Cricetulus griseus: one gene and its partners. The main gene of each other region encodes a partner of the protein of the gene in region 2 in a complex. Links are inferred from orthologs where the notes say so. Each region holds a gene or a part of one and is shown on either strand. Other genes may lie near its edges.

The links.
Region 1: the proteins of Xiap (region 2) and Casp3 are in contact, whole or in part, in a crystal structure (PDB 1I3O), measured with the Homo sapiens proteins. The link is inferred for Cricetulus griseus from reciprocal best matches to the Homo sapiens genes XIAP and CASP3. Residues at the interface, in NP_001158.2 of Homo sapiens: Ala137, Leu140, Leu141, Gly144, Gln145, Val146, Val147, Asp148, Ile149, Ser150, Asp151, Thr152, Ile153, Tyr154, Asn226, Leu231, Gly232, Arg233, Asn234; in NP_001341706.1 of Homo sapiens: Tyr204, Trp206, Arg207, Asn208, Ser209, Lys210, Asp211, Trp214, Gln217, Lys242, Thr245, Glu246, Phe247, Glu248, Ser249, Phe250, Phe252, Thr255, Phe256.
Region 3: the proteins of Xiap (region 2) and Casp7 are in contact, whole or in part, in a crystal structure (PDB 1I51), measured with the Homo sapiens proteins. The link is inferred for Cricetulus griseus from reciprocal best matches to the Homo sapiens genes XIAP and CASP7. Residues at the interface, in NP_001158.2 of Homo sapiens: His136, Ala137, Leu140, Leu141, Gly144, Gln145, Val146, Val147, Asp148, Ile149, Ser150, Asp151; in NP_001218.1 of Homo sapiens: Tyr230, Trp232, Arg233, Ser234, Pro235, Gly236, Arg237, Trp240, Glu274, Ser275, Gln276, Asp279, His281, Phe282.
Region 4: the proteins of Xiap (region 2) and Tab1 are in contact, whole or in part, in a crystal structure (PDB 2POP), measured with the Homo sapiens proteins. The link is inferred for Cricetulus griseus from reciprocal best matches to the Homo sapiens genes XIAP and TAB1. Residues at the interface, in NP_001158.2 of Homo sapiens: Phe33, Ala34, Ser38, Gly39, Pro41, Ser43, Ala44, Ser45, Thr46, Arg49, Tyr75, Ser78, Ala79, Val80, Gly81, Arg84, Phe92, Ile93, Gly95, Tyr97, Leu98; in NP_006107.1 of Homo sapiens: Glu99, Ala100, Arg103, Thr201, Gln202, Leu203, Glu212, Asp213, Phe216, Arg217, Gln220, Arg241, Glu269, Glu271, Ile272, His273, Ala275, Gln276, Pro277.
Region 5: the proteins of Xiap (region 2) and Ripk2 are in contact, whole or in part, in a cryo-EM structure (PDB 8AZA), measured with the Homo sapiens proteins. The link is inferred for Cricetulus griseus from reciprocal best matches to the Homo sapiens genes XIAP and RIPK2. Residues at the interface, in NP_001158.2 of Homo sapiens: Lys208, Asn209, Trp210, Glu211, Pro212, Cys213; in NP_003812.1 of Homo sapiens: His136, Asn137, Met138, Thr139, Pro141, Ile208, Asp278, Glu279, Arg280, Ser282, Lys285.

What each region holds. Positions count from the first base shown.
Region 1 is NW_023276807.1:40,009,379-40,014,974, forward strand, and holds the end of Casp3 (caspase-3), read right to left. Parts: intron 5,097-5,596; coding exon 4,968-5,096; intron 3,943-4,967; coding exon 3,767-3,942; intron 3,511-3,766; coding exon 3,390-3,510; intron 1,951-3,389; coding exon 1,721-1,950; downstream 1-1,720. UniProt on the Homo sapiens protein: Thiol protease that acts as a major effector caspase involved in the execution phase of apoptosis. Following cleavage and activation by initiator caspases (CASP8, CASP9 and/or CASP10), mediates execution of apoptosis by catalyzing cleavage of many proteins.
Region 2 is NC_048604.1:25,909,129-25,916,021, forward strand, and holds the start of Xiap (baculoviral IAP repeat-containing protein 4), read right to left. Parts: upstream 4,310-6,893; 5' UTR 4,282-4,309; coding exon 3,408-4,281; intron 2,227-3,407; coding exon 2,127-2,226; intron 225-2,126; coding exon 146-224; intron 1-145.
Region 3 is NC_048596.1:5,009,456-5,015,688, forward strand, and holds part of Casp7 (caspase-7), read right to left. Parts: intron 3,451-6,233; coding exon 3,314-3,450; intron 2,678-3,313; coding exon 2,549-2,677; intron 1-2,548. UniProt on the Homo sapiens protein: Thiol protease involved in different programmed cell death processes, such as apoptosis, pyroptosis or granzyme-mediated programmed cell death, by proteolytically cleaving target proteins.
Region 4 is NC_048595.1:377,305,089-377,311,321, reverse strand, and holds part of Tab1 (TGF-beta-activated kinase 1 and MAP3K7-binding protein 1), read right to left. Parts: intron 5,088-6,233; coding exon 4,951-5,087; intron 4,590-4,950; coding exon 4,436-4,589; intron 3,465-4,435; coding exon 3,378-3,464; intron 2,958-3,377; coding exon 2,819-2,957; intron 442-2,818; coding exon 328-441; intron 1-327. UniProt on the Homo sapiens protein: Key adapter protein that plays an essential role in JNK and NF-kappa-B activation and proinflammatory cytokines production in response to stimulation with TLRs and cytokines.
Region 5 is NC_048595.1:130,012,366-130,018,598, reverse strand, and holds part of Ripk2 (receptor-interacting serine/threonine-protein kinase 2), read left to right. Parts: intron 1-3,174; coding exon 3,175-3,328; intron 3,329-4,142; exon of another isoform or gene 4,143-4,219; intron 4,220-5,835; coding exon 5,836-5,991; intron 5,992-6,233.

The DNA of each region.
Region 1 (5,596 bases), on a different chromosome or scaffold from region 2:
CCCCAGAGGTCTTGTCACTTGCCAATGCCTCAAAATATTAGGTGAGAGCCCTGCTGCATCCTCTTTGGCTCTCCTAAATTAAGCTCTGGGCTAAAACTATTTTAACTGTCACTTAGCTATCACAACACCAAAAGTATCAATGACAAAAAGAAAAAAAAAAAAAAAAACCACAAAACACAAAACTCAAATACGCTGATAATTTTAAATCTGAATTTATGTTTTGAAATAAAAATGCAACAAACTCTTATAAAATTGACACATGGGAACACACTTTAAAATACCATCACATGCTACATTTACTTAGAGTTAATAGATCCAGTCTAAAACAAGAATCTACCAGTTATACATGTGAGTTCCTTCCTTTCTTTGAGCAAAAAGGAAGCTTCCATGAAATGCTAGACACATCAGGATGGCCAGCGTTGGCTCAGCACCTCCACCAGTGAGGAAGCCTGGAGCACCACCTCTCTAATGGGGCTGGACTCCATCCTGCAGCTTCCCATGCGGGCTGCAGGGCCTGTGACTGGATGTTCCCCAAGTCCTGTGTGCCATGGTCCTTTAATCTCTGGTGACAATACAAATATCACCATTGGCTTCCTTTTATTGTAAACTTCAACAGAAAAGTCAGCATGCTTACAGATTCTGGACATGGAGTTCTGGGATCTTTCTGGAGAGACTTACCACTTTGGGAACGCCCTTTCTAAGAAGTTTCCAATCTGGCTGACTTTCTCATGTGGTGACTTGGACCTTAGGGACATCATCCACACGAACGAGTACTCATGAGGTGGGTCCAGGTGACAGTCCTTTCTGAAGCTGTGCCCATGGCTCTGCCATGTATCTACTGTGGCTCAAACCACCCCTCTCCAATTACAGTAGATTCATTTCTCCCGTCCTTACATTCTGTTTTACAGCTGGTATTTTAGTATGTTCCTGCAGAATTTATTTCATTCTAATAATCAACAATTTGAGGCTGTTACGTAACTGTCCTATAGATATTTTGCTGGTCTGTAAAACTAAGCTGATTTGTATAAGAACAAGTAAGAAACAAATGCTGGTAGATTTAGCACCTTGCCATCATATCCACTACTTATGTATGGTAGCCTTCAAAAAGTCAACCAATTTCACTCATGTTTTCCTCTTACATAAATACTCAAGTTTTTTTTTCAATAATGAAACATGATTTTTTTAATAACAAATACATGCTTAGGACAAACATCACAAAACAATGAATGCTACTGGTGGTCCAATGCTTCATTTCCATATATCACTTCCAAAATAAAGGTCCAAGCTTTTGACTCTGCCCATGGATTCAAGTTCTAAGACATTATCATTTGACACCATCATTGCTGTAATTTAACAAAACCTAGAATGGCATTTTTAATGTGTGTAGGGAGTATAAAATTACACCTGAAAGTTTAACTTCTTCAGAATTAACTTAAAAATTTATAGTACCACCAAATCTTGCTAATTATAAAAAGTAAATTTGTAATTTCCTCTATAATGATAGTACCATCATTGACATTTGTTCCAATTAAATTGTTTCAACTACCTGATGTTGCACTTGAGGTAGCTGTACTGCGGCTGCATTGCTAGGGCAGTGGTATGGTTCATCTGAAACATCAGATTTGATTTAAATGAGAGAGAAATAAAGTCTCCCTGACACTGTTTCCTCATTGGCATTCAAAACAAAGAACAAATAGAAACAAAGCCTCCAATCATTTCCTTACTGATAAAAGTACAGTTCTTTTGTTAGCATGGACACAATACACGGAATCTGTTTCTTTGCATGAAAAGTGGAGTCAAGGGAGAAGGACTCAAATTCTATCGCCACCTTCCGGTTAACTCGAGTAAGAATGTGCATAAACTCAAGCTTGTGTGCATACAGTTTCAGCATGGCACAAAGTGACTGGATGAACCAGGACCCGTCCTTTGAATTTCTCCAGGAGTAATAACCTACAAGGCAAAATACAAAGCACCATGCCCACCATTACTTCATACCATCATTTAGCAGATTTTATGTGTTTTTACATAACCATGATAAAAATAAATATGAACTTCCAAGGTCTAACAAGCCATAAAAAGGAAAAAGAAATAACACCTTTGGTCTCTGGAGAAATGATATTGAGGGGGAAAATATATATTATACATACCTCACTACTGTCAGCAGGAAAAAAAAAAAAAGCAGCTATGGACTGACTGCCATTGAATTCTTCTACCACTTCCTGTTTCGGTCACAGCTCATCTGATTTTAATATTGGCTTAGACAAGAAATAAACTGCTTACATATACACACTTTAAATGTTTCTTTAGACTTACTTTATATGTCTGAGTTCTTTGCCTGCATGTATGTAAAGTGTAGCACACAAGTGCCTGATGCCCACTGAGTTACAGATGGCTGTCAATCACCATGCGTATATGAGGACCCAAACCCAGATCCTCTGCATGAGTAGAACAAGTCTCTTAACTATTAGGCTGTCTGCTCAGCCATATATATTTATATTTTAAAGAATGCCATTAGCTCACCTAGGGCGCATCTGAATGAATGTAATAAATAGCATTCAAAAAACCTAAGAAGGAAATAGTGCATTTTTGGTAATTTCAGATTAACTATTGGACTCATTGTGTTTACTTTAGAAGTATGCTGCCTAGAGAGATACCTAGTGGCTAAAAGAAACAAGATTGAGTGTATTTCATCTATTTGTTTTAATAGGTTTATTTACTTACTTATTTTGTGAGTATACTTGTACATGTGCCACATTGCATGTGGAACTCGGAAGATAATTTGTGAGAGTCAATTTTCTCCTCTAAAATCACACGCACGCACGCACGCACACATAGGTCCACACCCACAAATTTAATACTGAGTGTGTGTGTGTGTTGGTTTGAATGAGAATGGCCCCCATAAGCTCATATGTTTGAATATTTGGTCCCCAGACATGGAACTATTTGGGGAGGATTAGGAGGTGTTGTCTTGATGGAGGAGGCATCAGGTGGGCTTTTGAGGTTTCAGAAATCCATGTCATTCTAGCTAGTTCTCTCTGCCTTGTGCTGTGTTTATAGATAGAGATGTAAGCTCTCAGCTACTGCTCCAGCACCACACCTGTTTATCTACTGCCATGTCCTGCCTCCCCTTTCTTGTCATGATAGTCATGGACTCTAACCTTCTATAACCAAATTAGACATTTTCTTTTATGAGTTGCCTCAGTCTCTTGTTCTGTCATGGCAATAGAAAAGTAATTAAGACAACATTTAGTTATTGTAGGGATATAAAAATGTTTGTGAAGGGCTTATAAAAATCCCAATAGCCTTTAAAATCTAGTCTTTACCTCCAGCTCTAAAGTAATGCAATTTATCTCCAATTCACATAGAACATTCCTCTGACACATTCTTACCAGGTGCTGTGGAATAAGCATACAGGAAGTCAGCTTCCACTGGTATCTTCTGGCATGCCATGTCATCATCAGTTCCACTGTCTGTCTCAATGCCACAGTCCAGTTCCGTACCACGGCAGGCCTGTGTGTTAGAAAACAAACTTTTCTTTTAAAATAATATTATATGAACACACATAATTTGTAAAAGCTGTAAGAGTAGTGTAAAAATTGGTAAGTTGTTCTGATATAAGAGCAACATTGAAATGTACTCCACATATTCTAAGTGGTGGTTTAAGTAAATACAAATATAACAGTTCCGTTGCCCCAAAACAAAAAGTAAAGACTGTTAAATGTGTTAATCTCTTTTTAATCGGGCACCAAGCTGCTCAGAGCACTACCTGAATGATGAAGAGTTTGGGCTTTCCAGTTAGACTTCGGCAATAGTCCCCTCTGAAGTAAGTAGTTAGTTTTTTCAGGTCAACAGGCCCATCTGTTCCAAAAATTACTCCTTCTTCACCATGGCTTAGAATCACACAAATGAAACTGCTTCTTCTGCTGTGATCTTCTTTAGAAACTGGAAAGGCATTTGCAAATAATTGAAAACAAAACAAAGACACAGAAGGACTTTGCAAGTTTCGTTTAAAACATTAGGACACTGTATGAGAATATGACAAAGAATCTGTGGTTGTTTGATTTGTATCTAGTTTTCTAATTGGACCAAGATGGCTTTGAATTCACAGTCTTCCTTCCTGTCTTAGCTTCTTGAGTTCTGGGGTTACTGATTTATACCATGACCACAAGATGAAGAAACTGAGACCAGAACTATAAGATCACCCAAATCTAACATAGGCAGAGCACATTTGGAATCATTTTAGGGGATGACATGATTTTCTTTTTAACTTTTACTAAAATATATAAGCAGCCAGGTGTGGTGGCACATGCCTTTAATCCCAGAACTTGGGAGGCAATGGCATAGTTTTATACCTCTAATTATAAAGGTCTAATTATAGCTAGATCATAAATTGGGTAAAATTACCCAATGACGGTCATTCTTTTTTAACATAGTATTTTCATTAATTCTTTGAGAATTCCATCTATGCAATCTGATAATATTTATCCCCACACATACACCCCCAACTTCGCCTGTATCCTTCCTCCCAACTTCGCAGCTTTTTGTTTTTTAATAACACAGGGTCCAAATTGTTCTGGCCATATACCACTGAAGCATGGTCAACCTATCAGGGACTACACTATTAAATAAAATGGGACTCTCCCTCCTCCAGCAGCCATCGACTATCAACAGCTCCCCAACCTAGATGTGGGAACCCCCTCATTAGTCCCCCTCCCTTTCATGTTAGAATGCTGACAGGCTTGATCTTGATCAGGCAACAGCAACTGCTGCTGTGTAGTATTCTTGTCATGCCTTCCATTTGGTCCTCCCCCACCTCTGGCTCTTAAAATCTTTCTGCCCCTCCTTCTGCAATGGTCCCTGAGCCTTGTATGTGTGTAGGGGTATGGATATGCCAATTCTGGCTGAGTTCTGCAGACACTTCATCTCTGTCCTTTGCCCGGTTTTGGGATGCTTCTTTAATTATTTACCATTTTTCATCAATTCCACAATTTCTCCACAAGTAAGATCATTCTTATTCCGGACTTCATATTTCAAGCGCATGAATGTCTCCCTGAGGTTGGCTGCATCAACATCAGTACCAGAGCGAGGTGTCATTCCTTGGGACAGAAAGAACTTCTCTTAATTAATTAATTAATAACTCTTAATAGGAGTCATTTAAAAGAATAACTCCTTTGAGATTAAATGAGCTATTCAGCATTTCACACAACCAATGAACTCTTCCTTCTACATGTTAAGAAAACTCGAATTATTTTGATTATGGCAACAGAGTCTGTAATCTGTTAGCACACAAGATACTTCATTGTATTAGCTGCTGTAAGCTGTCGTGGCGGGGACATCCTCCACAACAGCTTCAACAGTGAAAATAAGAGGGGACTTTAGGTGCCTGATAATAGAGGTTTGTTTGATAAATTGTGATTTGTTTTATATGGTGGGGTACTATGTCATCATCTCATTCATTCATTCATTGGCAAAGTCTCACATTGTAGCCCAACCTAGTCTTGAACTCACAATAATCCCTGAGTGCTGGGATTACAGGCATAGGCCACCATGCTCAGTTCAGTATGAATATTTTCTAAGACCATGGGGAAATAATCAC
Region 2 (6,893 bases):
CTTTTCAAAAATTTGCTTCAGGGTTAAGAATTAGAAGGTTTCTTGAAGTTCTCCCCTTTAAAGTTTACTATACATTAATTATAGTAGTATACCATGCATTTCACTGGAAGAAATCATTAGAAAAACAAAATAACAGGCAACTTACCAAAGATTCTCCAAGTGAATGGGTTAAATGAATATTATTTATATATTCTTGCCCCTTCTCATCCAATAGATATTTACACCTAAAAGATTAAAGACATTAAACTCTATTAGCTGATAAATTAGTGAAGTATTAGTAAAGCCAGTCCTCCTGTGATTCAAGCTAGTCTCAAACTTGCTATTTAGCCAAGGATGACCTCAGACATCTAATCCTCCTCCTCCATATCTCAATTGCTGGGATTACAGGCAGCAATAGGCACAAATTACCCTAGTCTGTTAAAAATACAGCCTTTTCTTTGAGATAGGGTCTTGACAAATTGCCCAGGCTGGCGTCGATTGAGCTTTCTAACCTAGACAGGCCTTGAAACTTCCTATCTTATCAGACTCCTAAGTAGCTGAGATTAAAGGCCTTAGCGTCACTGTTTCTGGGGAGCCACAAAGCAAACTGCTACAAAATTCCTTATAAAGCTTTCATTTCAAGGCTAAAATAATGCTCCTATTTTCCACCCTATCAATATCAATTTTCAAGCAAGAGTTACTAAATTAGCCAATTTTGGTGGTATATGCCTGTAATCCCAGCACTTGGGAGGCTGAATAGGAAGGCTACATGAAAACCAGGCTAGCCTGGACTACATAGACAGAACCTGTCCCCCAAAAGAAAGGAAAACTAGCCAAAAAAGTCATTAGACAGGTATGGGGGTAAATATCTGAAATATATGCACTTAGGGGGTTAAGCCAAGAATATCAGAAGTTTAGAACCACCATTGGCTACATAGTGAATTCTTGCTAGAGCCAGCTCCAAGAGTCCCTGTCTCAAAGAAGAAACAAACAAAAAGGCAGGCATGATACCACACCTCTATAATACTCAAGACGCAGAAGCTGGAATATTGCCACAAGTTTTAGGTCCAGCCTGGTCTACATAGGAAGTTATGGCCAGTTTAGGCTACATATAACAAGACTATAATAAACACAAGAAAATCCAAAACTGCTAACAGGCAAAAAAAAAAAAAGCTATTAAATTAGTATTTTCACACTGATCTTTTTTTTGGGGGGGGAGGGAATTGAGATAGGGTTTCTCTGTGTAGCCCTGACGATCCATAGACCAGGCTGGCCTCAAACTCAGAGATCCACCTTCTTCTGCCTCCTGAGTGCTGGGATTAAAGGCATTTGCCACCACCGCCCGGCCATTTAAAACAATCTTATTTTACATACCAATCCCAGTTCCCTCTCATTGCCCCAACCATCTCCCCATCCCTCGCCCAATCCACTCCTCCAGAGGGCGAGGCCTCACTTGAGGCAGGACCAAGGCCCTCCCCTTCTGTATCTAGGCTGACAAAGGTTCTTTCCATAGGAAATGGGTTCTTTTTTAAACCAATACGGAACACTTGGGTTGCTTAAGGAAGAGTCTTTTCAAATGGTTCTTCTAAAATTTTAAGTTGTATTATTTTATATATTAGAAACTCATACAACTTATATAGCTGAGTACTTTATTTTACAGAGACAAGAGAGTTTCACGATGGAGGCCAGCCTGGAAGACATTGTGAACTCCAGGCCAACCGAGTTAATGTGAGAAACTGTTTCAAACTAAAAGCAAACAAAACACAAATAATAATATACATTATGCCAGCTCTTCAGGACTTCCCATGGTACCATGGGCTCAGGTCACTCGCCAAAGAGTCTACTTCTGAATAAAAAGGATATATTTTTGTATAGTATACTAAATAAAAAGTACACATTTTTGTAATTTGGTGTTTATAAATGGAACCCTCATATAATATATGAACAGTGAATGTTTTGGTTACCAGAAGTCTTAGGTGGGTTTTTTTTTTTTTGGCCTACGAAGTAGGTGACCCCATTTCTATAAACTTGGTGTGAATTACAAGCCATAGTGAAGGCAAAAATAGTTGAGGTGAAAAGTAATTCAAATCTTTCTCCTGCACAATGTCCAACTTGCCTATTCCTGAATGAACAATTAAGAATCTTACCCTGGGTACCACTTCGCATGCTGTTCCCAAGGGTCTTCACTTGGCTTCCAATCTGTGAGCCCTCCTCCACAGTGAAAGCACTTCACCTTATCACCTTCACCTAAGGAAACATGCACGTAAAACTATGTGTATCTGTGCATCAAAAAATGCCCATTCTAACATTTAAGAGGTGTCTAAGTTACATACAATCTCATGGCTTAAAGGAAAACATTCATATTCCATCTAGATACGATCTTTATCATTTGACAGGAAATACACACTAAATTTACCATCCCGATATGGGGTGCTTTGTAGAAGACAACAAAAGTAAAATCAAAGATTTTATGTTAAAAACTACAATTGTTACATTCTTTCTAGTGCATGTCATTTGGGTCATTACTATCACACTTACTTCATCAAACTGAAATCTGTACAAGTTATATTCCAAATGTTAACTATAATAAAATTCAGCAGATACTACAAAGTAAGTGTCTTTAAGGATAGAGCTCTCTGACATGAAAAAGACCTTCAAGATTACTATGTTATATAAATGAAAAAAATTTGAAATAATTTGTATTTTGAATTTAGCACTATTCAATCTTAAAATAAGTGGACCAGGCATGCAGATATAAAATATTCCTAGAAGCAACCATATTACTGGCTTTTAAGTCACATACTGTGACTGTTTCAAAAATACTCTGATGCAATAAGGCATAATACAGGGCAGCTTTCAAATATGTAGCGTATGTTAAAGATGTTACTTTTTCTTTGGTTCTTTTCGAGGGTATCATGACGTAGCCCAAACTGCCCTCAAACTCATTCCTACCTCAGCCTATGGACTGCTGCAATTACAGGTATGTGGCACCATGCTTAGCTTGATGTCAGTTTACCATGAACCAACCTAAATTCTCTGTTAACTCTGTTTATAGGGTTGTGGTGAAGCTTACAGACAATCCATGTAATAAGTATGCTGAGCATACAGAGTAGATGCTCGTTAAATGGCAGCTATTATTACTATTAGACCCATTATTTATCAGGAATCAATACCATCTTTTTTCTTCTCTCAACTCAACCCTCAAACAACTGTATGAATACAGATCTGACTCATAATAGCATGGCCTTTTAAGCATAAATTCAGTAATGACAATGAAGATTTAACATATGAGTTCAGAGAATGATACTAATGATAAGCAATCCTGAAAACTTATGCCTAAATATTTATTAGTTCAGAAGACTAAAGGCAATGATTTTCTTTTTAGGAGCCCTATGACAGATGGAAAGTAATTTACTGGTTAAGTTTACCTAAAGCATAAAATCCAGCTCTTGCAAGCTGCTCCTTGTTAACTGAGTATATCCATGTTCCAAAAGTAATGATCCGTGCTTCATATTCTGCCATGGCTGGATTTCTTGGAGAATTTGCCGAATTGGGGAAATTCCTATCAGAACTCACACCAGATTCACTCCGAACATTAACATTCCGGCCCAAAACAAAGAAGCAATTGGGAAAGTGTCTCCTGTGTTCTGACCAGGCACGATCACAGGGTTCCCAATTTTTCAGTTTCCCACCACAGCAAAAGCACTGCACTTGATCATCAATCCCTGTGTAGTACAGTCCAGCACTGGCCAACTCTCTGGGGGTTAAGTGGGCATAGTCTGGCCAGTTCTGAAAGGACTTCAGCCTGGCTTCTTCACTACACATGGCAGGGTTCCTCGGGTATATGGTATCTGAAATATCTACAACCTGTCCAGTTCTCAAAAGATAATCTGCATGAGTCTCAGATGGCCTGTCAAGAGCAAAATGATTTCTGTTTCCCACATAGTTTTCAGCTTTGTACTGGCCATTTTGGATACCAGGATTTGTAGCCTGTGTGGCACTGTTTTCAAAATAAAAACCATTGATAAATCTGCAATTTGGGGATATTTGCCTGTGTCTTCCAACAGCTGAGTCTCCGTACTGCCATCTATCCACTGCCGCGTGACAACTAAAGCACTGCACAGTATCTCCTTCACCAGTATAAAGAAACCCTGCTCGTGCCAAGGTTGATGCTGAAACAGGACTACTACTTGGAAAGTTAGCAAATGTTTTTAATCTATTAAACTCTTCTACAAATTCTTCATCCTTATTGGTGTCTGCAGGTACACAAGTTCTAGATCCTTCAAAACTGTTAAAAGTCATCTTCTCTTGAAAATAGGACTTGTCCACCTTTTCTAAAAAGAGAACATTGCATTAGGAAATCCAAAACACATAACAAAAGTAACATATTTCTGATACTAAGCACTAACAAATTATCCACTGATAACATAAAAACAGTGGTACAATCACTAAGACACATTTAATTCTAAACACTAGAGCCTTACATTACTACTTGAGTTTTAAAATCTGGTGCTTTTGTTTTTTTTCTCTTTCAGTGTTAAGGCTTCACACAATGCCAGACACATGCTCCAACACAGAACTATAAACCAGCCTGTTTCTCTTATTTATTGTAGTCCTGGATATCCACCTCAGGGTCTTTGGCATTTTCGGCAAGTGCCGAAAATGAGCCTCAATCTCAGTCCCACTTTCTCTTTTGATGGAAAACAATATGTAAACAAACAGCAGAATTACGAATCTTAAGTACTCATTTTATAGAAATATGGAAAGTATGACACAGAAAAATTATAAATATTAAACACATGAAGCCTTTAATTAGGAAAAACATGAATGCAGCATAAAACATGCAGATTATTAAAGACTATGCATAATAGTTATAATGAATCATTTCATATTCAAGGCATCAAAGTTCAATTTTTACTACTTAAAAATGAATGTTTAGAATGCTCATGGATTAATTTTAAATATATTTTTACTTTCTTGCTTAGCAAAAAAAAAAAGTGGTCTGGTGGAGGCCATGCCCAAGGGTATATAGGAAGCACAAATTAAACTTGCTGCATTTAAACAAAAGGACAAAGTCAGGTGGTAGATCTGGGAGGAGTTGGGGAGGTAGGTGACTGTGATCAAAATGCCATGCATAAAATTCTCAAAGAACTAATAAAAATATTAAACAAAATATTATAATGACTTAAACATTCTAAAAGTCACAGATATTAATTGAAGTTACTTTTGCCATCAACTTCTGTTGGTCAAGAAATAGCCTGTTTAAATGGAAGAGAATTTAACACTCATTACAGTTGCCAAATTACAACGATGTCATGTTTAGGCCAAATAACATACCAAGAGGAATCAGCTGCATTATGGGAAGAGTGGCAAGACAGTTTGTCCTCCAACATGGTAAAGTGCTAAATGATGCTACTAATAATTGCATAAGGATAACAGGCATGAATCATGGTCACCATAGGCAAAGCAGATAGAAGAACATGTGGTCACCCTAGCTACAAGACAAGCTGGTTCTCCAGAATCTTCCACATTGCCATTCTGTCCTCAGTATGTTTGTGAAATGCAAAATAAACAAATGGCTAAAACTCAAATAACAGCAAAAATGAAAGATTCTGATGTAGCAATGAATACATATCCAGATATTTCTCAAAGGGGGATGTATAATCGGCCAACTACCACATTAAACACCAGAATACAAATAAAAGCCACAATGAAGTATCACCTCACACCTATCAGGATAGCTATTATTTGAAAGACAAAAACCAACAAATGCTGCTGAGGATATGAAAAAAGGACCTACAAACAGGAATGTAAACTAGCACTGCCATTATGGAACACAAAATGGAAGCTCTTCTTGGTTTTGTGTAGATGTGTGTGCTTGGTATGCATGCATGTGCATGGATATCTTTCTCTATCATTCTCTACTTTGTTGTGGCAGAATCTTTCAGCTGAACTACGAGCTGGCTGATCCAGCCAGCTTCTGCCTCCACAATACACTGGGCCATCTTTCCAGCCCCTAAATTGAGCCTCTTCAAAAACTAGACAAGAGCTGAGTTTGGAGAGGTGGTTCAGCAGTTAAGAGCACTTACTGCTCTTCCAGAGGTCCCGAGTTCGGTTCCCAGCATCGATATCCACATCAGACTGCTTACATCACCTGTAACTTCAGCTTCTGGGGATCTAATGCCTCTGGTCTCCTTGGGCACCTACACTCACATGCACACAATCATAGGTCTACACACACACACACACACACACACACACACACACACACACACACACACACACACACAAATAAGTTTCAAAACCAATTAGACAATGATGGAGATGTTGCTAATGTAGCAGAGTACTCACCTAGCCCTGGGTTTAACCTTAACACTACATAAACTGGGTGTGGCAGTACACCAACGATCTCAGAACTTAGGAGGTGGAAGCAAGAGGATTAGAATTTCAAGCTCATTCTCAGCTCCATAACAAGTTTTAGGCCAGCCTGTGATACACAATCTCAAAAACAAACAGACAGACAGCTAACACAGGAGCTAGGGCATACATCCAGGGAAGTAAAATCAGTATGCTGAAGAGACACCTGTATTTGCCCACTTATTATAGCACTATTTGTATGTAGGTGACCATTGTGGAACAGAAAAAGAAAATGTAGTGTATGTATACAATGTAATATTTATCCTTAAAAAGATTAAAATTCTGCCACTTTGCAGAAACATGAATAGAACTGGATGAAATTATGTGAAGTAAAACATATCAGCTACTTATGTGGAAGCTAAAAGGTTAATGGGCACAAAGGTGTAGTTGAACAGAAGTAACTTACTTTCTTTCCCTTTTGTTTGGAGACAGAGTTTCACTACATAATCCAGGCTGGCCTCATATTTACTGCCCAAAGCCTTCAGAGTCCTGGGATT
Region 3 (6,233 bases), on a different chromosome or scaffold from region 2:
GGGAAGAGCACGGAATCCCCTTTTCAAAGGACCGGGTTGGGCCACTTCCCTGAAGAGACTGAACTGCTGGGGAGAATTCTAGGATTTCTCTCAATGAGAACCCAGGCACTGGGGAGCAGTGGGCCGATTCTGTGACACCAAAGAGATTAGTTAACCCCCATTTTCTCATCTGTCTATAAAAAAAGAGGTGGTTATGGTAGTTATAAAAGAGTTCCTACTGGCCGGGCGTTGGTGGCGCACGCCTTTAATCCCAGCACTCAAGAGGCAGAGGCAGGAGGATCTCTGTGAGTTTGAAGTCAGCCTGGTCTACAGAGTCAGTTCCAAGACAGGCTCCAAAGCAATACAGAGAAACCCTGTCTCGAAATCCCCCCCCAATAAATAATAAAATAAAATAAATGAAATTAAATTTTAAAAAATTCCTATTTATTGGACACAGTGTCTCACTGTGTAACTCTGGCTGGCCTGGAACTTGCTACGGAGACCAGGCTGGTCTTGAACTCAGCCTGCCTCTGCTTCCTGAGTTCTGGGATTAAAGGCCTGCTCCACTACATCCAGCTACAGTTACTATTTTTAAAGCCAAAGTATTTGTTAAAGAAAACATTAGGCCAAGCAGAATAAGCCAGTCATGAAAAGGGCTTCACTCTGGTGAGAAGCCAAAATAGAAAGGAGGGTGTCAGTGGCCAGGGGAGGGGACACAGTGGGTGGTTAGTATGTAGGTTGCTTTGGTTATGGAAAATGAAAAGAATTCTAGAAGTGACTGCTTAACTCCGCTCAACTGCTCTCTTTAAAATGATTAAAACAACGACTTTGTATTACACAACAGAAAACAGAACGTATACCCGAGGGACTCTAAGTCAGCATGCCACAGACACAGGCATGTCCATGTCTACTGCCGCACCAGTCACAGTGGCCGGGGAACAGAACTAGCTCATCAACAGAAAGCAGGTAAGGAAAGCGTGGCCCAGAAGTACAGCAGGGATTTGAGCATCCGTAAAGAAAACTGAAATCACGACATCTACAGGAAAACACATGGAACCAGAGATCACTGCGTTAAGTGAAGTTAGCGAGCCTGGAACACAAAGACCCCGGGGTTTTCTCTGGTGTGTGGAGCCTAGTTTTAAAAGTATGCAAACACGTATGTGTGTACTTTGATATGTGTGTTGGTAGGTTATAAAACTAGAAAAGGGATCATGAGAGGGCAGCAGAGACGTTAAAGGGGAGGGGACAATGGAAGGCATGGGCTAAGAAGACAGGAGGAGGGGGAGGGGCGGGGCACTGTGGAGCTGAGTGGGGGTGGGGAATGAGAACAGAGCGTAAGGACACACAAATATATGAAACCCACTACTTTGCATGCTAAACTAGAAAGTTAATAGAAAAAAAATCAGATAGCCATCAATATAGGAATCAGGAAAGGAATCACGGGGCACGCAGCAGACTGGCTTGGCTTCAACTTATCCATGGCCATGACACTAACAACCTACTGGTTAATACCAAATTAGCCACGGGGGTGGGGGGTAGGGGGGTGGGGGGTGAGATTTAGAGTTTCAGGGATACTGCCTATGTGTTGGCACTCATCCAGGTACTTTAGGTGAATCATACATATTTTTGAAGATTTATTTTATATTTAACAGTGTGTGTGGTGTGTGTGTGTGTGTGTGTGTGTGTGTGTGTGTGTAGTATACACTCTTGATCACCAAGCTCTCTCTCTGATCCCAAGAAGTCAATTAAAAGGAAAATAAGATTACACAAAACCTTTCTTTTTCAGATATGCAGTTAAGGAAAGCTGAGCCCTCTGCTGTCTGTAGGTCCCTGTCTAATGAGCAGGTAGCATTCTAGTTTCAGATACTTGTTCCAAGTGTGGGAGTGTTGGGAGAGATGTTGGGCTCCAGCCCCCACAGGGTCTCTGTGAGTTGCTTGTCAGCCAATAATCACAGGTGCATCCTGTTTTCTAGTCCTGGATAACAGCCTTGGCAGTACCCCACTGGTATAAAAAACACAAGCTCTTATACCTGGGGTTTTTCCACTGTGCTGTAAGTCTGTATATAAGGCTGCTCCCTCCCTGCAACAGAGGTCAGACACACATTCACCTAGCACAAACGACCAGATGTCTCTGCTTTTAACTAAATCTCCAGGCTTTTGCCCAATACCCTGGACTTGCTCATGGCACGGGCGCCACATGGGAGTGCCCAATGGCGTCCCTTAATGCATATCCAACCCATGGCTTAAGGACAGCATGTGTCATAGGACAGCTATGAGCTCAAGCTCAATGCAAAGTGGGAAACTTACCTAAAACATTATGATTCTTCTAGGACTGATTTTGTAACTCTGCATGGTTCATGAGCATGGACTTTGCAGATGCCAATGTCATTGTCACAATGTTAAAAGGGCATAGCTCTTCAAGTCTGGTCTAGTCCCTAATTTGCTCTCCAGCCTCTCTCTCACCCTTCCCAAAGTCTACCCACATGATCACAATGTGGCCACATCACAGAGCCAGAGCATGTCACTCTCAACCCAAGGGGTAGGACAGACAAGGACAGCCCACACTCACCTTTTCTAAGCAGGTCTTGCATCTTCGCACAAGAGCAGTCATTGTAGACAACCACATCAAAACCCAGGCTTCGGAAGCACTTGAAGAGGGCCTCTGCATCTTTGTCTGTCCCGTTCCGGACGTCCATACCTGTGGGGGAAAAGCAAGGAGAGGGCAGGTTCTGATCAGACCAGGTGCTGGGTGGCTCTGCAGCATTGGTGCCGGGAGCAGAAAGCACCTTCCGATGTTACAGCTTAAATGCACGAGGGGACTAGAGGAAAACTCAAGAGGACTGGGGTGGGGGGCCCTTGGCCTCCGAACAAGATGAACTTCCCTATGGTAACGGGAAACCACACTGGACTTGTGATGGCCAGCGTTGGCTGCCAATGTCATGCTCTAGAACCACTCAATTAAAGAAGCCATTCTATTACAGCAATAGGGAAAGAAACTAAGACAGGCTCCTTGAGTCTCAGCACTCTCTTAGCTACAGCACGAGGTAGAGCCTAGATGGAAAATTCTCTGCACCCCTGCCTCCTGGACATGGGATACCCCTGGCAGGGTTTGGCATAGCTGCTCTCTGATGAGTGTCTGGTGCAATGTGGAGAAAGTGGGAGGCGGGCGGGGGGGGGGGGGGGGAGGTGGGCTCAGCCCAGCACTCTCCTGTCTATCACTTTGTCACCCACTTGTCTATCACTTTGTCACCCACCTATCACTTTGTCACCCACCTGTCTATCACTTTGTCACCCACCTGTCACTTTGTCACCCACCTGTCACTTGGTCACCCACCTGTCACTTTGTCGAAGTTCTTGTTGTTTATAATGATACATTTCCCCATCTTCTCAAAATCCATTCTGTACAGGTGCGTGGGCACGCGGTCCCGGGTGGTCTTGATGGGGCACGGAGGGGCATTTTTCTTCTTTTTCCTTGGGTTACAGAAAGTCAGTTAGAGGCGCTGGGCAGCTGTGTGCTGAGGGAAGCCACGGTATTTGTGAAGAGAAGACCCACAGTGGGCAGACAGCTCTGCTTAACTGCCATGCTTAAATGGGACAAAGCTCCAGGGTAAATTTCAACAGATGTCAGAAAGTGCAAATCACAGTCACAGTGTGCCTCCCTGAGTGGCCACAGTGGGAAAACAGACGGCTCAGCATCTGCCATGAACTTGCGGAGCTGGTGGGGACCTATCAGGGTGTCCACAGTGTCCCAAAGTTACACAAACCTTGCAGCACAACAACTGCCCCGGGGCAGGCCAAGGTTTACTAGAAGATAGGGCCACACTGTGCAACGTGCCCCAGGGAGGGAATAAGCCACAGTCCTGCTTACAGTAAGAGAATGAAGTGAGGAACACTCGTGCAGCAGAGTAAAACAGAGACTGAATGAACCAGGACAGCAGGGAGCACACACGTGGAAACCATAAATGACCACAGCAAAGAGCCGGCGGCACACAGGAGGGCTGCACAGGCATAAGCGCCTCATACGGCGTCTGGAGGGATTGCGAAGGCAGAGGACCTCAGGCGCCTTCAGGGATGCCCAAGTCTATGTCTTTATATCAAGAAGGTGGTATGTGGCACGGTGCAGGCCTGTGTGCATGTATGTGTATGTACATGTGTGCATGTATGTGTATGTACATGTGTGCATGTATGTGTGTGTACATGTGTGTTCACGTATGTGTATGTACATGTGTGCATGTATGTGTGTGTACATGTGTGCTCACATGTGTGTGTGTACATGTGTGCATGTATGTGTATGTACATGTGTGCTCACATGTGTGTGTGTACATGTGTGCATGTATGTGTATGTACATGTGTGTTCATGTGTGTGTGTACATGTGTGCATGTATGTGTATGTACATGTGTGTTCATGTGTGTGTGTACATGTGTGCATGTATGTGTGTACATGTGTGCTCACATGTGTGTATGTACATGTGTGCATGTATGTGTATGTACATGTGTGTTCACCTGTGTGTGCTTGGAGATGCCACCCATGTCAGATGTCTTCCCTCTATTGCTTTCCACTGTTTTGTTTTGTTTTACAACGGAGTCTCTCCATGAGCACGGAGCTGGCTGTTTCAGCTGGACTGGCTGGCCAGTGAGCCACCTGGATCCACCAGTCTCAACCCCCAGCTTGGGTTGCAGACACTCGCCGCCATGTCTAACTTTTACATGGACGCAGGGGAACTCAGGTCTGTAGGTTTGCACAGCAAGCTCTTTGCCCACGGAGTCATCTCTTACATTCCCATATGTTCTTTTTTGTATGGACTGGTGGCGGTTATACACATATGTTAACTAAAGTTCACCTATGTAGACACCTTTCTGTCTGGATGAATATTTGACCAGCGATTACACAAATGGGGAGGGGGGAACAATTTTTTAAAGAATTGTTTTTAAAAGAATTGTTCCCCTCCCCCAACAACTATGGTTCTATTGGGCAAAACCAGTGTGGTGCAGCATGGACGTCATGGAATGGGCAGAGGACCAAACGGGACCTAAGAAGAGGAAGAGGACCAAACGGGACTCAAGAGATGGAGTCTTGCTGGTCTCCTCTCCAAAGTGAGCTTCAGGGAGACGAGAGTTTCATCTGATCTGAAAAATTACCGAACGCCCCCACACCTATAATGACACTTGCCATGTAACGTGCTGAGTATATAGTCCTTATATAGCTCTCCCCAAAGACAGCAGAGCCACAGAATCGGTGAAAACCCAGCTGGCACTTGATTCATGTGCCTTTGAGGCTGGTGTCTGGAGTTTCCCTGGACTCTTCTCCAGGGCGGTGTCTCGGCATCTCTGAAAGGCGTGTTCTCTCTCCTCCCCACTACTCCTGTGGTCCAGCTGCAGATGAGCTCAGTATCTCCAACTGCAAATTCTTTCTCTTTCCAGTACCTGAACATGACTCCATCCTCCATCTTTACAAGGTCACGTTTCTTCCACAGTACGATTTCATTTTAAAGAGCATCCTCGACCAGAAGCTGACCTCTGCTTCCCTTTCTGTCTGTCCATGCCTCTTTGTGGTGACATTATTATTTATGATCTCATAAGACTTGCCTGGAGATCAGAATGCAAAACTAGCCACAGCCATAGAAGCTGGGCAGTGGTGGCCACACCTTTGATCCCAGGATTCAGGAGACAGAGGCAGATGGATCTCTGTGAGTTCAAGGCCACCCTGGGCTACTTGAGAGAGAATCAGACTAATAGAGAAACAGAGCTCACACCTTTAGTCCCAGCACTAGAGAGAGTATAAGGAGCTCAGTGCAGTCTCAGGAGCAGTCTGAGATTTGGCAAGGAGCAGTGCATTCTGGAGATGCAATCAGAGGTTCGGTGGATCGCAGCTTCAGTCTAAGCATTGGTAGGGGTGAGCGCTCTCTAGCGGCTCGGCCACTTTGTTCTCATCTTCCTGTCCTTGGACAACAGGGCTATGGGACACTGGGTTTGGGGTAGGTAGACTCTGGCCAGTGAGTCACTGCCCTTTGCAGAGCTCTAACTTCCTTTTCTTATTAAATGGAGCTAAGTCACATCTAGTAGGTACAGCCCACTTGAATTGGTCAGGGCTGTTTAGAGGAACAGAACTGATACAACTATTATACACTAAAAGAGGCCCCATCAGACTGCCTGGCAAGATACAGCTGAAGGAGTCCAATGATGCTCACAGCACAGACAGATAATTTAGTAGTCACTCAGTGCAGGAGCTGCTGAAGGAGACCTGGGTATTCCTA
Region 4 (6,233 bases), on a different chromosome or scaffold from region 2:
CGCTTTCTCGCCATGATGGACGACAGCATTAGCCAAAAGCCTTTTCTCCCTTAAGCTACTTCTGCCAGGTATCCGGTCACAGTAGTGAGAAAAGTTTACTCCTCTGGGAGGCAGTTTATATACATTAACTCTCCAAAGAGGGTGTTACCACTACCCTCACCACACAGATGAAGTTCCCAAGTCACAACTGTCCAGTGGCAGATCCAGTTCTGGCTACAGTCCCAGCATGCACCTCCCTCTCCCAGTTACCAAAGGAAAGGCACAGAAGGAGCCCAGGAGCTGGCCCCCTGTCCCCACAGTTCCCCCAGCGCAGCCTCCCCTAGTCACCCAGTTGTGACAGACGAAAGAGCTCGTCCTCATTCTCCGTGGTGTGGTCCACGTTCAGCTGTGTCACCTGTAACCCATCCACTGTAGATTTGCACAGAAGGGCCCGGTTTGTACCTGCAGCATAATTTGACCAAGATCAACCAGAGGGAGAAACAGGACCTACTGACACAACAGGAAAGACAGGCAGATGTCACACACCAAGGGGCCCAGACACAGGGGTGAATCGCCAGGCAAGGACAGCTGAGTCAGTATGGAAGCAGGCTGCATGCTACAGTGTGATCACAGGACAAGTCTTCAGATTATCATGGCTTAGTGTCTGTGGTTGCTTTCAAACAATTTGGAATAAGGGGCTCTGAATGAAACAAGACTGGCCACAGACAGAAACTGTTAGGGCTGGAATGGGGCAAGGTGGCTCACTAACTAACATTTATCACCTGTTTTACATTTTGCAAGTTGATCCCTAAGGAAATCTGAAGAAAAGGAGGAAGAGAGTCAGGGACACCATAAACTCTTGTGATAGTTTTATAGAAAATGGTTCCCAAAGGCAATGGCACTAATAGGAGGTGTAGTTTTATTGGAGTAGGTATGGCCTTGTTGGAGGAAGTGTGTCACTGTGGGTGTGGGCTTTGAGGTCTCAAATATGCTCAAGATACCACCCAGTGAGACAGTTCACATCCTGTTGCCTTCTGATCAAGATGTAGCCAGCACCATGTCTCCCTGCATGCTGCCATGCTCCCTGCCAAAACGATAATGGACTAAACCTCTGAACTGAAAGCTGCCAACCCAATTAAAAGTGTTTCCTTTATAAGAGTTACTGTAGTCATGGTATATCTTCATAAGCAATAGAAAGACAGCCCTTACAGTGACATGCATCCTGCACAGGTTCTTGGGTCCCTTGATGGCCCTTCCTTAAATCTAAATGTCCCTATCACCCAGTTTCCTGCTGTTTTTTGAGTGTAAAGCAGGCCTTCACATAACTTCTTTCAAAAGAAGCCATGGGGCTGAGATGTTGGGAGCACAGAGGTTCTTGCACTCACAGATAAGTGGTAGGGAAACCAGGAATGTTGGACATGCAGGGTTGTCTCTTCAAAGGGAGAGATATATAACCTGTTTTCTGCCCAGGCTGGGAATGGAGGTAGTTCACAGCCATTCGATGACCTCTGTGCTATGTGTAGGGGTAGGCTACATGTGCCCCCCGCCAGGCTCCCACAAATAGGATCTGAGATGGTTAATAGCCTAGGTGACCTCTGTGCTATCTGTATGCCCAAGATCCCACCAGATCCTCCCCTAGGGCCTTAATACATGTAGCCTATCTGTAGAACACATCTTCATGGAAGAACTGACATGTACTTGGGAAAGAGTTTCACTGGGCATGGTGGCGCACACCTTTAATCCCTGCACTTGGGAGGCAGAGGCAGGCTGATCTCTGTAAGTTCAAGACCAGCCTGGTCTATATAGTGAATCCCAGGACAATCAGGATAGATCCTATCTCAAAAAAAGAAAAGAGTTTTGATGTAATTATGCCTTACTGTGCACACAGGATTGTGTTGTACTTGGAAACTTTTTTTCCAAACTGTACTGTACTTAAATATGCCTAAAATAAACTGCCTGGGGCCAGGCACTGGTGGCACACGCCTTTAATCCCAGCACTCGGGAGGCAGAGGCAGGTGGATCTCTGTGAGTTTGAGGCCAGCCTGGTCTCCAGAGCGAGTGCCAGGATAGGCTCCAAAGCTACACAGAGAAACTCTGTCTCGAAATACCAAAAACCAAAACCTAAACTGCCTGGGGTCAGACTCTAGTGCAGTGGTTCTCGACCTTCCCATGCTGCGACTGTTTCCTCACGTTGTGGTGACCCCCAACACAAAATTATTCTCCTTGCTACTTCATAACTGACTTTGCTACTGTTATAAAACATAATGTAAATATCTATGTTTTCCAATGGTCTTAGGCAACCCCTATGAAAGGTTGACCCCAGATTGAGAAACACTGTTCTAGAAGTTTGAACCAAAAATAGCTACTGAATCATGTTGAACTGGATTTCCTCCTTGCCTCACAGGGATTGGATCATTACTCTGCTAGCCCTGGTGTTTGCAGAGACACCCACTCCCCCCTCCCACCCAGAGATGGCTCAGCAGTTAAGAGCATTGGATGCTCTTCCAAAATCTATTCCCAGGTACTCATATGGTGGCTCACAACCATCTTTAACTCCAGTTCAATCAGATGCCCACTTCTAGCCTCCACAAGCACCAGGCACACATGTGGTACACAGACATGCATGTAGATAAAACACTCATACACATAAATTAAAAACAAAAATAAAATGGATGCAATTCATCAAAAGCCAGGACACCTATCCCTGTCTCATCTGTTCGCCTTCCATCAGGATTGACACATACAACAGAGTGAGGGGGAAACAGGCCCAGCAGCCCTGAGAAGTTCAGGGTATGTATGTACAGAAAGCAGATTGGTGTGGGGTGGGTGGGTGGCTCACCAACATTGGCGACGTAGAGCTTGTTGTTGAGAAGGACTGCCACAACGGCCATGGCCCCTCCCGAAATCTCCCTTTCCAGTGCCTTGAGTCTCTCAAGGATCTTCTGATACTGAGGTGGCAACTGGTGTTGGGGCACACCCTGCAAGCCACCATCAAGAGAGGTCAGCAGGTGCTTGAGGACCATCTTACCCATTCTCTCCTTCCCTTGAGATAGAGCAGACAGATGAGCCAGCAAAGACACAGCCAGGCTGGATACCTATAGGATGCCCAGGAAGGCCACTGGTACTTTAACCAAGGGCAGCCTGAAGGTGACCCTGGCTCTGGACTGAACCAGATCACAGAACCTTTCCTTCCACCTACTGCTGCCATCCAAGGATGAACATCAGAGAAAAGCTGCCCACTGCTGGCCAAGAATTCCCATAGGGATACACCTACTGTCACCCCAGTCTCCCCATCAGGACGCTGCCTCATGATTCTGCTGCAGGCCTTGCTATGACCATAGGTAGCAAGAGACATGGAGGATTAATGCTGGCACCCAGCAGTACAGATAGGCCATTACCTCTGGTAGCTGGGACTGGAGGCTTGCTTTCTCAGCCAAGGCATCATCAATGGACTCCAGGAAGCTCCTCTCTACCACATCGAAGGCCTGAAGGGACACAGGGCAAGGCAAGGGCTGGCTCAAACAATACCATCACCTCCTGCTAAGATGTCCCTATGGAGCGTAACAGATCCATGGTATTCATGGCAGGTCTCATGTGACGGGTGAGTGACACATCATTTTTGCCTCATATGTGGGTCTTCCTGTCCATTGTTTGACAAGGACCTGTAGCTGTGGGATGGGAGAAGGGTGCTACTTAGGTAGCCTACAAAGGAATCAGAGAGGCAGAAGCAAGAGCCAGGCCCTGTGCTTAAGACTGGTGAGGTGTAAACTCCAGTGCTGCACATTTGGGTTCATGTCAAGTGAGAGAATCTACCCACAGCACTGGGCTCAGAGGAGTGCTTGGTCAATGGGAGTCTGCAGTAGCATGATGACCTCTTCTGAAGAGGCCTTGGTCAGGACCTGCTGGACACAGGTGAAGCAGAAAGCTTTCCCTGGTATAGCCTTTGCAATGCTCCAGTCTAGGAGCCCTGAGGCCACAGAGAACAGGAAAAGGCTGGGGCAATTTCTCAAAGACCAAGAAGCCTTTCTGGGTAGATGGAAACCCCAGCACAGCAACAGAAGAAACACAGGCCTGGTCAGTGAGGTGCAGGCCAGAATAGGAGTAGGCAAAGTTGCAGATCATGCAGGACTGGAGATGAGCACCTAACTACATCCCAAGCAAAGGGGTCACTGTTAAGGACCGTGTCCCCACAGGCCTCCATTTTCCATTCCTGGGATGCCTTCTCCCAGGTCAGCCCTTCTTCCAATCAAAGAACTGCTGCTCCCATCTGCCCTGGACTCCTTGGGAAAAGGAACCCCTGCTACCACGAGCTGTACCCAGAACTGATCCTTGGTGGGAGATGAAGAAGCAGGCAATCTTCAGATCACCTTGTCCACACTTAGAGCTGCAGGGCTGAAGTTCCAGGGAGGAGAGGACACACAGTCAGACAGGCCACTGGCAGCCAGCCCAACCTCACCTGCAGCAGGACCCGCCGCACATCAGCCTCAGTGTGTTCAGTGTTGAGCTGGCCCAGCAGGAGCTCTGCAGAGAGTCTCTGGGCCACAAAGTTGGTCACCCGGTTGCCATCATAGCCATTGAAGACCCCATACAGGAAGCAGTTGTTTTCACTTCTAGCAGAGGGAGGGCAGGAAGAGGGCTGAGGCCAGGGGCATACAGGTGATGGGGAAGAAAGAAAGGAACTGGGGAGGGGCTAAAGGCAGAAAAGGCTTCAGGTACTCATCTGGGTCCCCTCATGGCGGCCATCAATTCACTATGAAAATGACCTGCTTGTTGAATCCTCCCTCTTAGCCTACTCCATCCCTATCCCACAGCAGGCCGTTGGCTGAATTAGACACAGAAAGGACCACAGCAGTGGTCATTTCCCACAGGCCCCACTTCACAGGCAAGCCTCATACACAGTAGTGGCAAGACAGCATCTTTCCTTGCTCATAAACTGACTTTCTCTGTCCAGTACAGCCATGCCACACATACCTGAACTTGAGCCAGTTGTCCTCAGGAGGGTGGCTCTCGGTGCCCTTACCATCAGCAGAATAGCTACGGTTAGAAGCTGAACCAACTCCAGAGAGATGACAGAGTGGAAGGTCATCTGTCCAGCTTGGCTGCTGCTCCTGAAAAAACAAACAAACAAACAAACAAAAAACATCAGGAAACTGCGAAAGCCTACCATCTTCCCCAGATCCCACTGCACCTGCTTCTCCAACAAAGACAAAGGAGGTCCCCAAAGTCCCACAAGATGGTTATGTCTGGGAAACACAAAGTGTCCTGTTTTTGTAATGTATCCACAAACTGGTTCCCATGGAAATCCTAAAACTGTAGCATTCCCAAGTGGAAAGCTCAGCATGGCTTTTCAAAGACAGCAAGCTGTACTACCAAGCAGGAAATACTAGTGTAACACACAGTAAGTCCAACTTAGAGGAAACTCTGGTCACACTCCTCCCACAAAGTTCTGATTGTGCAGCACAAAGGAATCCAACTACAGAACACATGCCCCACGGGCACCAGCACCACCACAATGCTTGACCCGTGCAGCTGTGTTATCAATAGCTTCCCACACATGCTCTCAGGAAGGTAGCTGGGACCTGGCCTTCAGAAACTCCAACCTGCAAGTCAGTCTGCCATTCTTCCTAGTATGGAAGCCTCCACCTGTGTCCCTTGCCATCTCCCCCAACACATCTTCAATAGCTGCAGCTTGAAGGCCTGTGTACACCCTTTTCCGTGTCTGGCAAGTCTTCTGGGATCGCTGACTCGGCGGTCACACTCATACTCATGGTTCCATATCTCATGCCTACAACTGGCTTTCATCCTATCCCACCAGATCTCAAACTGGGATGTTTTGCACAATCACTGCAGAGATTTACACACACACACACACAGACACAGAGTCCAAGTCTTAGCCTATACAATACAGGGTTTCTCTGTGTAGCCCTGACTGTCCTGGAACTTGTCCTGTAGACCAGGCCTGCCTCTGCCTCCAGAGTGCTGGTTAAAGACCTGTGCCACCACTGCCAGGCAAACATCCCAACTCTTAATTTTGTAAGGATCCTAGAGGTGACCCCTAAGCACCTGTATTTTCTTTTCTTTCTTTCTTTTTTTTTTTTTTTTTTTTTTTTGGTTTTTCAAGACAGGGTTTCTCTATGGCTTTGGAGGCTGTCCTGGAACTAGCTCTTGTAGACCAGGCTGGTCTCAATCTCACAGAGATCCATGCTTCCTGAGTGCTGGGATTAAAGGTGTGCGCCACCAATGCCCGGCGCACC
Region 5 (6,233 bases), on a different chromosome or scaffold from region 2:
TATTTTAATGATTAATGAGTCATTCTCTGTAGCCAATGAGTGGGCCTAACATAGCAGACTTCCTACCTTAATGGATAGATGACTCCACTTGGTACCTTAGAGATGGGGTAACTGTTTCCTATTGAAATTTTGAGTTGGGTAATTTTGGTGATATAATCATTGAAACTGTCTTTTACATTTTTAGCTTTTTTTAATCTTTTAGTTTTATTTCCCCCCTTAGTCTTGTTGAAATCTAACCTTATAAACTGTCCAACTTGCTTTCCTGGTCAAACAACAGACTAGGAAAAACACAGACCTTAGAGTACCAGGACTACAATTTGAATCTGACTTTAATCCTGTTGCTTTGTTTGGTTGTGGTCACCAGAGGATCATTTATTTCTCCGACTCTGGGTGTCCCTGTATGTAAAGTGGAGGTAATGGAGCCAGCTTTAGAGAGGCAATTGAACAGTTAGTGTTTATAAAGTGGCTGACAGGAAGGAAGAATACATCAGACTTTTTCATGTGTGTGCGCATGTGTGTTTGTGTTCGTGTATACACACATGTTGTACGTACTGGTCCATGTGCATGATAAGGAAGCCAGGGGTCAACTTCAGGTATTGTTCCTCAGGACCACCATTTATCTCAGGGGCAGGTTAGTGTTTCAGAGTGTTTTATTGTTGTCGACTTTTTTATGTGGATTCTGAGGAATCAAACTCAGATCCTCCTGTTTGTGTAACAACCACTTCACCAGCTGTACTGTCTTCCAACCCCTTGTTTCATACTGTGGACAGGAGGAGGAAAGGGGATCTTATATATGCATGTGGCTGGAACTTCCACAGTGCACTCTCTCTGTGGATGTTTCTCAGTGTCCAGGAATCTTCGGGTTCATCCCATAAGGAAAACACAGCAACTGTCTTGTTGACCCGTATCTCTTGGGCAAATACAGAACTTGAGAAATTGAAGTTTAATTAAATGGGCCTCACAGATTGATATAACTGGTTTCCTTACTGTCAAGGTCATGGACAGAGAAGAGAGAAACTTTTCACTTTGTTTTCTTACAACTCTTTAATTTAAAACATAAAATGTATTACCTACTAAAAGAATAAATAACTTCTAACCATGATTGGGTGTGTCTCTCTGTCTCTCTGTCTCTCTCTGTCCCTCTCTGTCTCTCTGTCTCTCTGTCTCTCTCTCTCTCTCTCTCTGTCTCTCTCTCTCTCTCTTTCTCGTGTGTGTGTGTGTGTGTGTGTGTGTGTGTGTGTGTGTGTGTGTGTGTGTGTGTGTTTTAAGCAGTCTGGTCAGGAATGTCTATTGCTATTCTCATTTCAACAGACATCCAGCGCTTGGGTTTCTTAAGAGCCAACTAATCATCAGCACTTACCCAATAGGCTTCTCCTGGAAGCATTTCTATTTATGTCATTGCTACCAACACCCATGCATCTAGTGTGCTAAAAAATGATGATGGCATCACTATAATTTCTCTTCCTTTGTGTACTTTTTAAAGTTCTTCACCGCCAGTCAGTCCAAACATCTACCATTCTTTTCAGCCAGTGTTTTCTTTTTTCTTTTACTATTTTATACTTTATAGTTTCAGGCTCCCCCTGCTTTGTATCTAAATTATTACAATCTTCAAAACTGTTCCTCTTTCTATTAATTCCATGTACTATGCCAAGTTAATTATCTTCAAACTTAATTGTACTCCTTTCCCTTGCTCAGAACTTTCAGTCACAGCTGATTATCAGACTCCTTAGGAGTCTTAGGATTCTGGCATGTTTGATTTGCCATCGTTTCTTTTACATATGAAATATCCTAATTCATATTAAGCAGTCAGTTTTACTTTCACTTCTGTAATTCATTTGACCATGGATGTTGAACATCTACTGTGTTACTGGATAGGAGGCACTGTTTTAAGTCCTGGGAATGGGTATACATGTGCAAAAGAGAAGCAAGGTCTTACCTTTCACGGAGGCCTCATTCACTTTATATGGCTTCTCTGTGGTGCTGAATTCTAGTCATACTTCAGGTTGCACTGAAAGCCTGTCTTTGAAGACTGTGGTGACTTTACCTTGCTCAAAATTCTCTCTCCTCTGAATGCCCCATAGTTTACTTTTCTTTTTTCTTTATATGTGTATGTGCATATGTGTGTATGTATGCATATATATATAAAATATATGGCAATCATCACATTCTTCCTTGTATTATTTTTTTTCTGATGTGAATTATGGGCCTTTAAAGACAAGGATGCCTTTTTGTCTTTGTATGCTCTGAAATACAAAGCATATTGTATTTCATGACGGTAAGTCTGACTGTACTAAAAGTTAACCATTTATCTCTTTTACTCATGCCCAAGGCATGTGGTATACCAGGGATCAGCTGGAAATGCTTCCTTGTTCTCTGCTTTTTTCCTGAGTTTGATGTGTAACTTCTAAGCCTTATTGACTTTGATGTAGCCATCATCATCTAAGTCAGCAGTTACCAACCTTTGGGTTACAGCCCCTATAGGGGTCAAACAACCCTTTCACAGGGGTCACCTAAGAACATTGGAAAACACAGATATTTACACAGTAGCCAAAATTACAGTTATGAAGTAGTACTGAAAATTATTTTATGGTTGGGGGTCACCACCATATGAGGAACCCTGTAAAGGGTTGCAGCATTAGGAAGCTGGAGAACCATTGATCTAAGTAAATACGTCTGCAATATTTAAACGCTTTAGAATTCATGTTTGGAAAACTTTTACATGTCTATAACCGTAAAACATGTGGTTATAAAATATATTTGGTTACTCCATTTAATCTTAATGATTACTTCAAGCATCAATCATTCTAACATAGGCTAAGTTTTGGAGCTTCGTCTCACACTGTTCCTTCTCTTTCCTAGGAAAGGTATGGTAATAACCATGTGGAGCACTTCTGCCATCAGTGGAAAGTACAGTAATAACCATGTACAGAGCTTTGACCACCAGTGGTTTATAGACGTTATTTTGGCTGTTCTCTAAATAGACCAGTAGAATACATAAAGTGGGTATTATCTCTATTTTAAATATGATAAAACTAAGGGACACAGAAGATAAACTCACATGAGGCTACATAGCTAATTAATGAGAAAAAAAATTCCAAGCTTATTTAATCTGTGGGTATGGCCATTATTGTATGTTTTTCGTTATCTGAAATAATTATCCTTTTTTTTCCTTAGTGAAAGAAATGATATCTTACGAGAAGCTGAAATACTACATAAAGCTAGATTTAGTTACATTCTTCCAATTTTGGGAATTTGCAATGAGCCTGAATTTTTGGGCATAGTTACTGAATACATGCCAAATGGATCATTAAATGAACTTCTACATAGAGTAAGTACTGTTTGTTTCCAATAACTACAATTACTATTTAGTCTGCTCAACTATATATAGTATTTTGTTCTTCATTCAGTCACATTACTCTGTAGTATATAAATGAATCAAGTAAGAATATGAAGCACCATGAACTGATGAACTTTACCTTTTGTGTCTTTGTTTGTGTTGGTACAAAGTACTGTGGAGTTGGGCTTGAATTCAAAGGTCCTAGAATATTTCGCATAGGTAACTCTGACATTCATACTAAATCCCAGTATCCAATATAATATATATATAATATATATATATATATATATATATATATTATTTGTACACAGATAGGCGTGGGAAATAGATGAGTTCAATACAGTATATAATCCATGGTTAATCGATATTTAGTGACTATTTAGGATCCAAATTAACTATTATTAGTTAATGGACCAAGTAAATTATCTTCAATGACAAGAAACATGACATTTTTCTGTCTATAGAAGTTTGAACCATTACTAATTTTTTCAAGGTATAAGTTACTCTGGCTTTGTATTTGTGAATCCTATCAACAAACTTGGGATCCTCATTCTCAAAATACATGTATTCTATTTTTATTTTGGCTTGATCTTACACCCTGATTCTTTCCAGTCTGCATTTGCTTTCAGATCTTTTTAGGTCAGATGCTCCAATTTATGAAGATTTGAGCTAATTAGAACTGCATAATACCTATGAATACTTATGCCATTCCCACATTATAGTATATCACATTGCCTTTTACACAAGCAAGGGAAAGTGGGCACCACTATCAGCCACTCATGGAGTGACTTCCTCTTTGTTTCAGAATACATCGCATTCTATTCATGACTTGTGACCATCTGAAACAAAGATGGACTGAAGTAACTGGTATCAGTCTGTAAGGTTTGTGTACCTGCTCCAGCAATCAAGTTAAAAAGATTCCATAAAGCACAGTTTCTTTTTTGTTGTCTGAGAAATGAAATTGAAGCAGAAATTCTAATGTTTTATTTCCACATCGTTATAGATACTCTGGCACCCAGATTTGGAGCCCCCTGGAAATTCTGTAGCCTTCTCTAGGATTCTTCCTAACTCTTAGATGTGACCATAAAATATAGAGTGTCACTCTACCCTTGACTCCATGAGGAAAAGCCTCCATATGACACTGCCATTCAGAGGCCTCATAGTCACTTTAAATTTCATAATACTTTGAAAAATTGCCTCTTTACAGACCAACAAAAGATGCACTTGCTCCAAGGTATTGAGCTGTATGTGTTTCCCAGGAGGTAATGCTCCATGTTAGTGTCTCCTTGGTATGTTATCCTAAATAATATACCAGTTACTCACAGTGTGATTTATCTTGAAGCACTCACCACCCACATCATAAAAGATCACTGAATAAAATGAAAATGTGGTATAAACAGCCTAAAGTATTTTGAACAACCTCCTACTAATTGGTCACTGAAATTTAAGCAGACTTGATTTCAAAAAGAATCCCAAGGCAATTTTGGCGCTTCAAAAAAGGTGACTTTTATATAGTATTTTAGAAAATGAACCCATGAGTTTGAGCCATTTCAAAAGTGTCTGATTTTTCTGAGTGTATATATCCTCCTTGGAAACTGCATTAACTTTTATATTCAGAAAACATTTAAAGAAACTCAGGTGGATATGTGTTTAAGAACAAAACAATGATCTTTATTCCACAAGAAGAAATTCTCAAAGGTTAACGTTTCAAGAGGTAACGTAGAACATAATTTGTAATTAAAGTATGAGATATAGATCAGTGAGATGGGTCAGAAGTTGCAGGCACTTGCCCCCCAAGAAGACAGGCCTGATGACCTGAGTTTGACCCAAAAGCCACATAAAGGTGGAAGGAAAGAACTGGCTTCACAAAGTTGTCCTCAGATTTCCACACTCCCAACCTGCCACATGTACCCCCAACACATCTTGTATACACGCACACACACATACAGACAATAGTAACAAACGTTTTCAGGTATGAGACACTTCAAATGATATACTCTCAATTTTAATTGACTTAGAGACTACAGTGATAATTATAGTTTTAAATTAATATAAAAAGTTAAAATTTTGAATGAATGGTTTGGTTTGTCAGAAACACATTATATTTTTTTTCTGTATGTATGTGTGCTTGTGTGTATAAGTTATTTGATGAGACCATAGAAGTGATCTGTGGATTAGGGTGTAAATTAAATACATGTATCTGACTTTATGTGCATACAAGTAACTGACAGTTGTGTCTGCTAAAGAATGAGGCAGTAATACCAGGCAATTGCATGACCAGTATAAAAAGAGAAATACCACTGCTATGCTTACCATCAACATCTCTAAAGATTAAAGAAAGTAAAATATAAGAATTCCAAACAGTATCAATTGATAGTTACAAAATTGAGCTTATGTTTTATCCCAGTTTATAATCTATTTCCTCATGGATTCTTAATTTTTAACTGTTAAATTAAGGCAGTAGTAATTTTTGTTTTGTTTCTTTCACACATACAAAGAAAACTGAATATCCTGATCTTGCGTGGCCATTGAGATTCCGCATCCTGCATGAAATTGCTCTTGGTGTAAATTACCTGCACAATATGAACCCTCCTCTACTTCATCATGACTTAAAGACTCAGAACATCTTGTTGGATAATGAATTTCATGTTAAGGTAATTGCTTTGGAAAAAAACTTTCTCTGGGTCTTCGTTCTTAATAATTCTGAAAAATATTTTTGCTGTTTTTGTTTTGTTTTTCAAGACAGGGTTTCTCTGTGTGGCTTTAGAGCCTATTCTGGCACTCGCTCTGTAGACCAGGCTGGCCTCTGCCTCCCAAGTGCTAGGATTCCACCAATGCCCAGCTCTGAAAAATATTTTTAGTAGTGTCTTAATTTCTATCTTCAGTTCCCATGCAG